Linked DNA regions of Macaca fascicularis. The protein of the gene in region 2 binds, or shares a complex with, the protein of the main gene of each other region. Links are inferred from orthologs where the notes say so. Each region holds a gene or a part of one and is shown on either strand. Other genes may lie near its edges.

What was found. The genes of interacting proteins can lie anywhere in the genome.
Region 1: the proteins of TIMP1 (region 2) and MMP10 are in contact, whole or in part, in a crystal structure (PDB 3V96), measured with the Homo sapiens proteins. The link is inferred for Macaca fascicularis from reciprocal best matches to the Homo sapiens genes TIMP1 and MMP10. Residues at the interface, in NP_003245.1 of Homo sapiens: Cys24, Thr25, Cys26, Val27, Pro28, Asn37, Leu57, Tyr58, Pro87, Met89, Glu90, Ser91, Val92, Cys93, Arg98, Thr121, Cys122, Cys155, Leu156, Ser157, Ile158, Gln173, Leu174, Gly177, Ser178, Glu179, Lys180; in NP_002416.1 of Homo sapiens: Phe170, Tyr171, Gly177, His178, Ser179, Leu180, Ala181, His182, Ala183, Tyr184, Pro185, Tyr191, Asp205, Ala206, Ser207, Gly208, Val214, His217, Glu218, His221, Phe226, His227, Thr231, Tyr236, Pro237, Leu238, Tyr239, Asn240, Phe242, Thr243.
Region 3: the proteins of TIMP1 (region 2) and MMP3 are in contact, whole or in part, in a crystal structure (PDB 1UEA), measured with the Homo sapiens proteins. The link is inferred for Macaca fascicularis from reciprocal best matches to the Homo sapiens genes TIMP1 and MMP3. Residues at the interface, in NP_003245.1 of Homo sapiens: Cys24, Thr25, Cys26, Val27, Pro28, Pro29, Val52, Thr56, Leu57, Tyr58, Pro87, Ala88, Met89, Glu90, Ser91, Val92, Cys93, Thr121, Cys122, Leu156, Ser157, Pro159, Gln173, Leu174, Gly177, Glu179; in NP_002413.1 of Homo sapiens: Phe100, Thr102, Phe103, Phe171, Tyr172, Gly178, Asn179, Val180, Leu181, Ala182, His183, Ala184, Tyr185, Ala186, Thr207, Thr208, Gly209, Thr210, Val215, His218, Glu219, His222, Phe227, His228, Tyr237, Pro238, Leu239, Tyr240, His241, Ser242.

What each region holds. Positions count from the first base shown.
Region 1 is NC_088388.1:101,791,334-101,794,833, reverse strand, and holds part of MMP10 (stromelysin-2), read left to right. Parts: intron 1-855; coding exon 856-1,020; intron 1,021-1,205; coding exon 1,206-1,350; intron 1,351-2,304; coding exon 2,305-2,438; intron 2,439-3,500. UniProt on the Homo sapiens protein: Can degrade fibronectin, gelatins of type I, III, IV, and V; weakly collagens III, IV, and V. Activates procollagenase.
Region 2 is NC_088395.1:47,679,030-47,683,058, forward strand, and holds the start of TIMP1 (metalloproteinase inhibitor 1), read left to right. Parts: upstream 1-1,229; 5' UTR 1,230-1,268; intron 1,269-2,203; 5' UTR 2,204-2,211; coding exon 2,212-2,332; intron 2,333-3,071; coding exon 3,072-3,151; intron 3,152-3,340; coding exon 3,341-3,467; intron 3,468-3,675; coding exon 3,676-3,800; intron 3,801-4,029. UniProt on the Homo sapiens protein: Metalloproteinase inhibitor that functions by forming one to one complexes with target metalloproteinases, such as collagenases, and irreversibly inactivates them by binding to their catalytic zinc cofactor.
Region 3 is NC_088388.1:101,854,026-101,856,815, reverse strand, and holds the end of MMP3 (stromelysin-1), read left to right. Parts: intron 1-703; coding exon 704-807; intron 808-1,867; coding exon 1,868-1,968; 3' UTR 1,969-2,290; downstream 2,291-2,790. UniProt on the Homo sapiens protein: Metalloproteinase with a rather broad substrate specificity that can degrade fibronectin, laminin, gelatins of type I, III, IV, and V; collagens III, IV, X, and IX, and cartilage proteoglycans.

The DNA of each region.
Region 1 (3,500 bases), on a different chromosome or scaffold from region 2:
CTAAAGATTGTACACATCCAATGGCACTTATTACTGGGAAGATTTTTGACAATCAAAAATTATTTTATTATGGCTGAGCACCGGTGGCTAATGCCTGTAATCCCAGCATTTTGGGAGGCCAAGGTGAGTGAATCACTTGAGGCCAGGAGTTCGAGACTAGCCTAGCCAACATGGTGAAACCCTATCTCTAAAATATAAAAATTAGCTGGGCATAGTGGTACGTGCCTGTAATCTCAGCTACTCAGGAGGCTGAGGCATGAGAATCGCTTGAACCCGTACTCCAGGCTGGGCAACAGAGTGAGATTCTGTCTCAAAAAAAAACAGTTACTTGAGTATGATGAAGAGGAGGAAGAGCAAATCAGACTAAACTCCACAAGAAATAACTACAGTCTTGTGGCCTAAAAGTTTGGGGAGCAACATAAATGTTATATGATTAATTTTAACCGAGGTTGCAACTGGCACATGTTCCTAAATTTGAACAATGACTTTTTACTTTTAGACAACGAAGAGTTATATTTATTGACATGGATATTAGTCTTGTCCTTTCAAAAAAAAAATCTTTGGAAATAATGCTTCTCATTTGTCAATATAGGAAAAGTGTCTTAGTTTTCCTGACCAAGGAGGGATCTAGGGAGCGATACGGTGAAAAACTGTCTTATATATTGACTTAAAGTCAACCTTGAAAAACACATTAATTTCTATAAAGTATGGAATATGCCAATCAATGAACCAATCCACAAATACTGAAAAGACCATGTGGTTTCAAGGATGGCCTGCACAGCTGGCATATGTTCTGTATGTGTATTTACGGAATAAATAGCTGGTGGATTCTGAACATTTATGGTTGTCATACAGGCACCAATTTATTCTTCGTTGCTGCTCATGAACTTGGCCACTCCCTGGGGCTCTTTCACTCAGCCAACACTGAAGCTTTGATGTACCCACTCTACAACTCATTCACAGAGCTGACCCGGTTCCACCTTTCACAAGATGATGTGAATGGCATTCAGTCTCTCTATGGTGAGTGATGCTGGAAAAATTAGGCATTGTAGCTCTGCAACGACAGTCCTCAAGAAAGCTTTCCAATGCTACCTAAAGTATTTCTGATTTAGCTTGAAGCACTTTGAGAATGTTTGAAAGGCATACAAATTGACAGATGCATCACATTTTTTAAATGTTTGCATCCCCAAATCTGTCTCCTTTAGGACCTCCCCCTGCCTCTACTGAGGAACCCCTGGTGCCCACGAAATCCGTCCCTTCAGGATCTAGGACGCCAGCCAAGTGCGACCCTGCTTTGTCCTTCGATGCCATCAGCACTCTGAGGGGAGAATATCTGTTCTTTAAAGACAGGTCAGACCAGAAAATTATATTTTTCTGTCTATTCTTTTGATGTACAGTGCTTAGAAAGGAAAACAGAAATTTGATAGAGGTTTTTTTTAAAAAACTTTTATTTTAGGTTCAGGGCTACATGTGCAGGTTTGTTATATAGGTAAATTCGTGTCATGGGGGTTTGTTGTACAGATAATTTTGTCATCCCAGTGCTAAACCTAGTACCCGGTAGTTACTTTTTCTGCTTGACAGAGATTTTTTTAAATACAAAATTTTCTCTATATTTTAAAATCATTCAGATCTAGTTCTTGTTGAATTTTTAACATCCTGTTAGAATTGTCCAGGTCATTTTTTACACTTACAAGGGATGATTCTAGACTGTAAGCTTGATTAAGGCAGGGAGTTATATCTGTTTTGTTCATTTTTTAAAATATAAATCATGGAACTTCTTCAGAAAGCACTGGTGAATCCTTAGAAACAGGGTGATATCTTTCCCTTTGCTAAAAATTGCTACTACTTAAATTAATTACTTTTGGAAAAAAGTGATATATGCTTATGGCACAATATTTAGACACTGCCAAAAGATACAGAGTTAAACAATCTCTCTCTAGTCTTTGGTCTACAGTCCCCCAGCTCCCTTCACATGTGTAACCACTGCTACCAATTTCCTTTAACTCTTTACAGAAATGTTCTATTCATATACAAGCATCAATACGCACATAATATTTTTTAAAATATTAGGACATAATATACACACTGTTTATGGACTTTCAGAGTGGAAGCAAGCTAAATAATTTTATTGGAACCAGTCACAAGTCCTGCCATCAATTTTATTACCCTGGAATCACATGCAGGAGGATGGTTTAATATAGACTTCTATGAATGCGTGAATTAGCATGGATTTTTTTTAAAAGAATACTTTTTTTCACATAGCTAAAGGAGAAAGACAATTGCAAGTAATTTTATGTATTACAGATATTTTTGGCGAAGATCCCACTGGAACTCTGAACCTGAATTTCATTTGATTTCTACATTTTGGCCCTCTCTCCCGTCATATTTGGATGCTGCATATGAAGTTAATAGCAGGGATACTGTTTTTATTTTTAAAGGTGAGTACTATATAAGAATTTTCAACTTGCTGGAATAAATCCTAGTGTGAAAATTTTATCGACATGAGTTTTCTCCATTATATTAAAGTTTAGATTACTGCAAGACCTTGTGCTAACACTTAAATAAAATTTGTACAAAGAACATTATAAACTTTATTTTAGAGACCTCTTAAGTGAATAGGTGGTATTCCATATTCATGGATAAAAAATGCAATATAGTAAAAATGTCAATTTATCTATAGATACAAGACATTTTCATTTCAAATGCCAAAAGATTTTTCATGGAACTTGACAAATTAGTTTTACAATTTATACGGCAGCAAAGAGAATAGCCAGGAGGCTCCTGGTGAACCCATCTTATTAGATAAGGAGAAAAGCCCTGTGTTATAAAACTTTAATCAGTAAGATGTAGTATCAGTTCAGGGAGAGATAAATTAACTAATGGAGCTATTCAGGTATGGCGGCTTCTTTATCAGATTTTTAAACTACGGTTTCAATTTGTTTTATTGGTAATATGCTATTTGAGTTTCTATTACTTCTTGAGTCAGTTTTGTTAACATGTTTTTCTAAAAGTTTGCCAATTTTGTCTGTTTTCAAATCCATCAGTAAAAAGTTTTTGGAAAATTATTTTGTTGTAATTTGAATTATTGCTGAAGTTTTGTTCTCTTTTTCATTCCCAATACTGAACCCTTTTGCCTTTCTCTTTTTCTCTTTATTAATCTCATAATGTATGTAATAATGTTATTGATCTTTTCAAAGGACTGACTTTTGGCTTTATTTATCCTCTATATTATATTTTGATTTCCCATTTAACTAATTTCTGTTCATATCCTTATTGTTGCCTTAAGTTTTGTTTACTTTTAATTGATCCTGTTATTATTGTTATAGCTTAAGTTTGATACTTACCTTATTAACTTGTAACTTTTTTCTTTTCTAATATAAGCATTTATACCTATAAATAACCATTTCTTCTTTTTTATTCAGCAAATTTTGATATGCAGTATTTTCATTTTGTTCAATTTTAATTCTTTAATTTCTCATCTTTATTTTTCCCCTAGACTT
Region 2 (4,029 bases):
AGTGAATGAGATAATTTATACAAATACTTTAGCACGTAGTATACAGAAAGTGCTCAATAAGCGGCTGCCATCATCACTACAATTATTATTATTGATCTATCCTCCTCGAATTAAGGGTGTTAATCAGAACCCCAGGGAAGATTCCTGCACTGTCAAAAAGCTGGTGGGCAAGGATTGCCCCACCCCACCCTCCACCAGGGGTATAGGTCCGTGGGGAAGGGGCAGGGCAGGATGGGGTGGGGACTAGTTTTCTACTGACCCACTCACTTGTTTCTTTCACCTTCATTCATGGCCACCCCCTTCCCAATGCTCATTCATTCACCCGCACCATTCCCTGCTTGCTAGGATGGTGCCACTCCTGAGTTACGATCCTGGTGCCAGGTAGCCTCAGTTCGAATCCTGGCCATGTCCTGTGATCTTGGGAAAATTCTTCAGTTCCTCTATACCCCATATTTCCTCATCTGTAAAATGGGAATAATAACTGGTACCCATCTCAGAGATTTGTTGTGAGCTCTGAGTGAGATAAACTATGCTGAGTGCCTGGTATACAGTCGGTGCTATATAAATGCCGGCTATTTGCCTGTGTTTTTTGAGACCCTGGCTTTGGTTCCTGGCCACCTGAGTTCCAGTCTCAGTTCTGCCATGTACTGACTCTATGATCCTGGATAAGTCACTTAACCACTCCATGCCTCAGTTTCCCCATTTTGTGTTCCTCCCCATTCACCTGCCTTATCTCCCTCCACTGCTGCTATTTAATTTGTTTCCTCTCTGCCACCCCTCACCAGCATGTCAGACATACAAAACAAGGGATTTTTGTGTGCTTGGCACACAGTAGATGCACAATAAATGTTGAAGGGCTGAACTCATTTGGGTTTGAGCCATAGGGAGCTTGGGGGATGTGGGTGATTGGATAGATTCTGGAGACTTTAGGGGACTGGGCTGGGGGGAATGCGGCCTCTAAGCTCTCCGCTGAGGCGTCTTGGAAGGAATAGTGACTGACGTGGAGGTGGGGGAGGGGGCTGGCCCGGGCGAGGCCCAGGGAGAGGGAGAGGAGGGGGGTGGGAGAGGAGGAGGGTGTATCTCCTTTCGTCGGCCCGCCCCTTGGCTTCTGCACTGATGGTGGGTGGATGAGTAATGCATCCAGGAAGCCTGGAGGCCTGTGGTTTCCGCACCCGCTGCCACCCCCGCCCCTAGCGTGGACATTTATCCTCTAGCGCTCAGGCCCTGCCGCCATCGCCGCAGATCCAGTGCCCAGAGAGACACGAGAGGTAAGCAGGGCCCGGGATGGCCCAGCAGGAACCGGGGCTGGGCCGCAGCTTGGGTGCTGGCCACCAGGCCCGTGCACTCCCGTGCTAGATGCCTGTCTACTCAGCTTGGCCTGCGGGTACCAGGATCCTGGGCTAGTCTAGGGGGAAGAGGGTCGGAGGCTGGAACCGCTTTCCCAACCCTGAGGCTCCAAACTCCCTAGAACCCCTGACATCCATCCCCAACTCTCCCAAACCCATGACCCCCTAGTATCACAAATGCTTTCCAAATCCCCCGCAAATCCCTTCATCCAGCACTTTCCCTCATCGCCTCCTAAATCCCCACTGCTAACCCCTGCAGCTCCCTGAACTCCCCCATCTCCCCAATCCCCAGTTTCCCAGCTCCCCAGCTCCCAAACTTCTTTTGCCCTCAGATTCCTCAAGTATCACCATTGCCTTAAGCCCCCAAATTCCCCCAACCCCTTCAACCTCCAAACTCCCCCAGCTCCCCAAATCCCCAACCTCCTCCAAATTCCTCAACCTCCCTAAATTCCCCCAGCCCCCTATATCTCTTAATACACACAACCCCTAAACTCTGCCTCCTCCAAACCCCTCCAGCCCCCAATCCCAAATTCCTCACCCCCAAACTCCTCAACCTCCAGAATTCCCCAATCCCCTCATTCCTCAAACTTCCTTAGCTCCCTTCTCCCCCAAGTGCCACAGCTCCATAACCCCGCAACTCAGTCCCTCAATAATTTAAACTTTCCCAACTCTCTAAACCCTAAATTCCTCTGGGCTCCCCAATCCCCTTAAAATCCCCAAGCTTCCCAACCCCTGAAGCCCAAATCCAGTCCCCTAATCCCCCCATAGGCTGCCCCGGGGCAGGATGGGGTGGATGACCTGCCCAGGTCAGCAGATCAGCTGGGCTGGGGCCTGCCTGACATCCCTCTTCCCCACAGAACCCACCATGGCCCCCTTTGAGCCCCTGGCTTCCGGCATCCTGTTGTTGCTGTGGCTGATAGCCCCCAGCAGGGCCTGCACCTGTGTCCTACCCCACCCACAGACGGCCTTCTGCAATTCCGACCTCGGTGAGTCCTCACCCCACTCAGCCCACACACTCTGCCTTGGTTTCCCTCTCAGTCCGGTGGGGCTCACGATGGCACTTACCTCTAGAATGATTCCACTCGCCCCTGCTCTTCCTCTGCTTTAGCCACATTGGCATCCTCACACTTTCTTGAGTACTCCGTGCCCAAGCCCACCACAGGACCTGTGTGCTGGCTGCTCCCTCTGCCTGGTACACTTTCCCCCCAGGTATCCACATGGGTGGCTGCCTCAAATGTCACCTTCTCAGGATGGCCTTCCCTGGCCATCTTGTTTAAAATTTTAACCCCTGCCCCTTAGTACTCCTGATTTCCTGTTAAAGAGAAAAATATTCGGTGATAGTTGTTATAGCACAGTAAGGAAGACCATATTCAGGACAATGGTGATGGGTACAGGAACCACTGCAATGGGATCTTGCTGTCTGGGAGAGAGATTGGGCTCAACACTGAATATAGCATGGGCCAGTGGGAATGTCTGGGCACTCCCAAATATTTGAGGAGTAAATGAACAAATGAATAGATGAAAATGGCTTAAGCAGTGCCTGGCGAAGAGAGACACTCAACATACAGATGAATCAATAAACAAATGTGTAAATCACTTAGTGTGCTGTCTGGCATCCAATAACCCCTATTTATGTATGCACGTTGCTGGTATTATGATGATGATGATCTTATTTTTATTGGCTCATGCAGTCCATTTGACTCATATTTCCCTCCTCTCCTGCAGTCATCAGGGCCAAGTTCGTGGGGACACCAGAAGTCAACCAGACCACCTTATACCAGCGTTATGAGATCAAGATGACCAAGGTATCCCCTGCTCCCGCCCCTTTCCCAGCATTTTCTAACATCTTCCTCCTGGTCAAAACAGAAACTTCTGGCCACTGGTTGGTGCAAGAAAGTTGGCTGTGATCTTGGGATGCTATGTGACTTCAGGGAAGAACCTGGAGTGGGAGGATTATGTCAGTAAAAGAGACACTTCCCCTCATCCATCAACAGATGTATAAAGGGTTCCAGGCCTTAGGGGATGCCGCTGACATCCGGTTCGTCTACACCCCCGCCATGGAGAGTGTCTGCGGATACTTCCACAGGTCCCACAACCGCAGCGAGGAGTTTCTCATTGCTGGTGAGGCACCGTCCCCGCGCCCTGTGCCACGCCAACCAGTCCCTGGGGCGCGGCCTAGCAACAGCGAGGGGGCGAGGCTCTGATGGGAATGGATCCACTGGAAATGGGTACCATCCCAATTTCAGCCTATCAGAAGGCCGGGCCTTTGCTAGCCTGGCGGCTCAGCCAATCAAAAGCTGCTTGTCGGTTACCCCCGCTTTCTCCTTAGGAAAACTGCAGGACGGACTCTTGCACATCACCACCTGCAGTTTCGTGGCTCCCTGGAACAGTCTGAGCTTAGCTCAGCGCCGGGGCTTCACCAAGACCTACACTGTTGGCTGTGAGGAATGCACAGTGAGTACCTGGACCCTGACCTCCAACGGGAGATCCTTCCGCGGCCCTTCCCTAAATCGTGGGCTTGTTCCTTGCTCCCTCTGGCTATTCTGTGTCCCTGTGGCTGCTCCCAAACTCTAAGGGCTGTCCCTGATCTCTCTTGCTATTTCCCCAAGCCCCAGACTGCTCCCTTACAAATTCTGGCTGCTCCCTTGCCCTGTGTCCAATACCGTGTGATCGCCTGTCCCTG
Region 3 (2,790 bases), on a different chromosome or scaffold from region 2:
TGCGTTTGTCTTGTCTTCCTAACACTACTATGTGATATCCAAGGGCTACCTCTAACCTCACCCGTTTGTTACCTCTGCCTGATAATGATGGCACTTTTAAGAGATGATGAGCAATAGCAGTCCAGTTTATGGATACAACCCAGCACTCGCAGACAGGTTGATTCCTGGGTCATTTGCCCAGACTTTGAGACATCGAGGCCGACCATCTGATATCCAGCCAGTGGGCTAAAAACACACATACTGAGCTTTGCTTCTAATCCTAATCTCTTTTCCCGGGAGGCCACCATAGAAGACTTAGATGTGCAGGGTGGGGAGGGCAGGTATATATGGGCCAGTTGTGGTAGGGAACTAAAATTGCACTTTAGATGTTGATTCAATTCACTTTATATATATGTTCACACTTTCATGTCTTTGTGACAGAAAGATGATTAAGATTCTTTCTGTCCAGGCTTAAGAAATACGATGACAAACAGCAGGTGCTACATGCAGCAGGATGCTGCCCCTGTTCTGGATGGAGATATGGCTTTAAGAACTCTTTGCAGTACGATTAAAGTCACATATTTCTACAGTCCCAAATATGCTTAGCGTTTATTTGCAGTACTTACAAAGTTTAGTAAAATTCCACATTAAACCTACCATGATCTAAGATGTTTGGTAACATGGCCTCTATGCAATGCTGAGCTGTTTCTTTTACTCGGTACAGATTTGATGAGAAGAGAAATTCCATGGAGCCAGGCTTTCCCAAGCAAATAGCTGAAGACTTTCCAGGAATTGACTCAAAGATTGATGCTGTTTTTGAAGAATTTGGTAAGAGGATACTTACTGTGTTGGCCATGGAGCACTTGAAACATCTATGATATCAGAGACAAGAGGAGCATTGAAACTTTTTAATAACAAGTGTTTTTTAAGACCAGTTCCCTCCCCAAAATTTTGATTTGCCTACATTTGTACTCATTATAGAACTACTTCACAAAATAACTTGTTTGGAACCATAAAGATAATTAACAAATCTTGCTACTTTATCTTATACATGCATATAAAACCGTGCATGTAAAATCAAAGTGCTCCAGTGTCACTTACTCACATCTCGAGCTAACATGTGAAGTCAAGCTTGAATTTCAGATTACCATGTTAGTATAAAAATCCCATCAAATGGTGTGGCCAGATTTAATATTGGTTAGCTGGCCTTCTCCTCCACCCCATCTTATTGCTGCTACTAATTCCCAGGGAGATCTTTTTCTGTCTTTCCTGAATTGTCAGTCATTGCCCATGCCGGTCATTTGCAAATACTTACCTTTCCATTGCCCAGAGTTTACTCAAGGTAAGTAAGTGGAGGCTGATGATCTTTATTGAAAGGTAACCTGATCACCATGTTTGCAGAGTGCTAAAGGGTTCTCTGGTGTTTTGAAATAGTTGCTGTGCTTCCTAGGCTGCAATGCAGGAAAAAGGGAGGAGGATTTTTGGGGAAGAAAGAAATAGGTGATTAGAGTTTCCAAGCAAGTGGAGAATTTATCTGATCAGAAGCAGAATAACCTTGTAACCTGGAACCTGGCTTTGTTGTTAGAGTGAGCTGGCATGGAGTGCTGGCTCCATCCTTCCTTGCTGAGTAACCTTGAGCAAGCATCGGAATCTGTCTAAACCTCAACTTGTTCAACCTGTAAATGGAGTTAGACATACAATCTCATAGGGTTGTTGCAGAAATAAATGAAAATAAATTCATGTAACAAGCTTGGCATAGTCCCTGACATAAAGTAAAACTCTATAAACACTTTCTATTTTTAGTTCTCTATGATTCTGAGTTTTGTATATTGTCAAATGTCTTTATTTGGAAAAAATGTCTTACTATTTCCCTTGTCTGTATTTGAAGGATTTTTTTATTTCTTCACTGGATCTTCACAATTGGAGTTTGACCCAAATGCAAAGAAAGTGACACACACTTTGAAGAGTAACAGCTGGCTTAATTGTTGAGAGAGATATGTAGAAGGGACCATATGGGAACTTTAAATGAAGCTGATAATTCTTCACCTAAGTCTCTGTGAATTGAAATGGTTTGTTTTCTCCTGCCTGTGCTGTGACTCAAGTCATACTCAAGGGAACTTGAGCGTGAACTCTGTATCTTGCCGGTCATCTTTACATTATTACAGGGCATTCAAGTGGACTGCTGCTTAGCTTGCACCTTGTCATGTGGAGTGATCTTTCCCAAGAGAAGGGGAAGCAGTCATGTGCAACAGACAAGTGACTGTATCTATGTAGACTATTTGCTTATTTAATAAAGATGATTTGTCAGTTATTTTATCTTATTGTTGTATTTGTTTGTTTCAAGGGCAAGTTGTTCTCACAATTTGGGCACATTATGGGCTGAGCATGATCAGTCAGTAGACTAGAGTCTCCACGGCTTGGGGTTCACAATGGGTTCCAGAACTGCAGAGAATCTACAACTTGCCCTCCTCATGAACCCTGCAAACGGGATGCTTATTTCTACCATCTAGACATTTGATGTGTCCTGACATACTTAAGGCAAAAAATCGAGAGGGATCGTGACATTGTAGAGCAGGCTCTAGGAAAAACTGTGAAGGGAATCCTGTACTCATAGCAAATTGCCTCATTTGCACACCTCATTTTACAGGATGAGGAAATCAAACTTGTTTTTGATCTTTTCCTTTTACTTATAAATTCCCTCAGTACAGGTCCCTCCTCTGACCTAGCAAGCAAACTTCCTCATATCTACCCTATTCACACGTTAAAATATACTTTTGTACTCATTTTGTATCTGCCTGTGCCTGGAGGTAA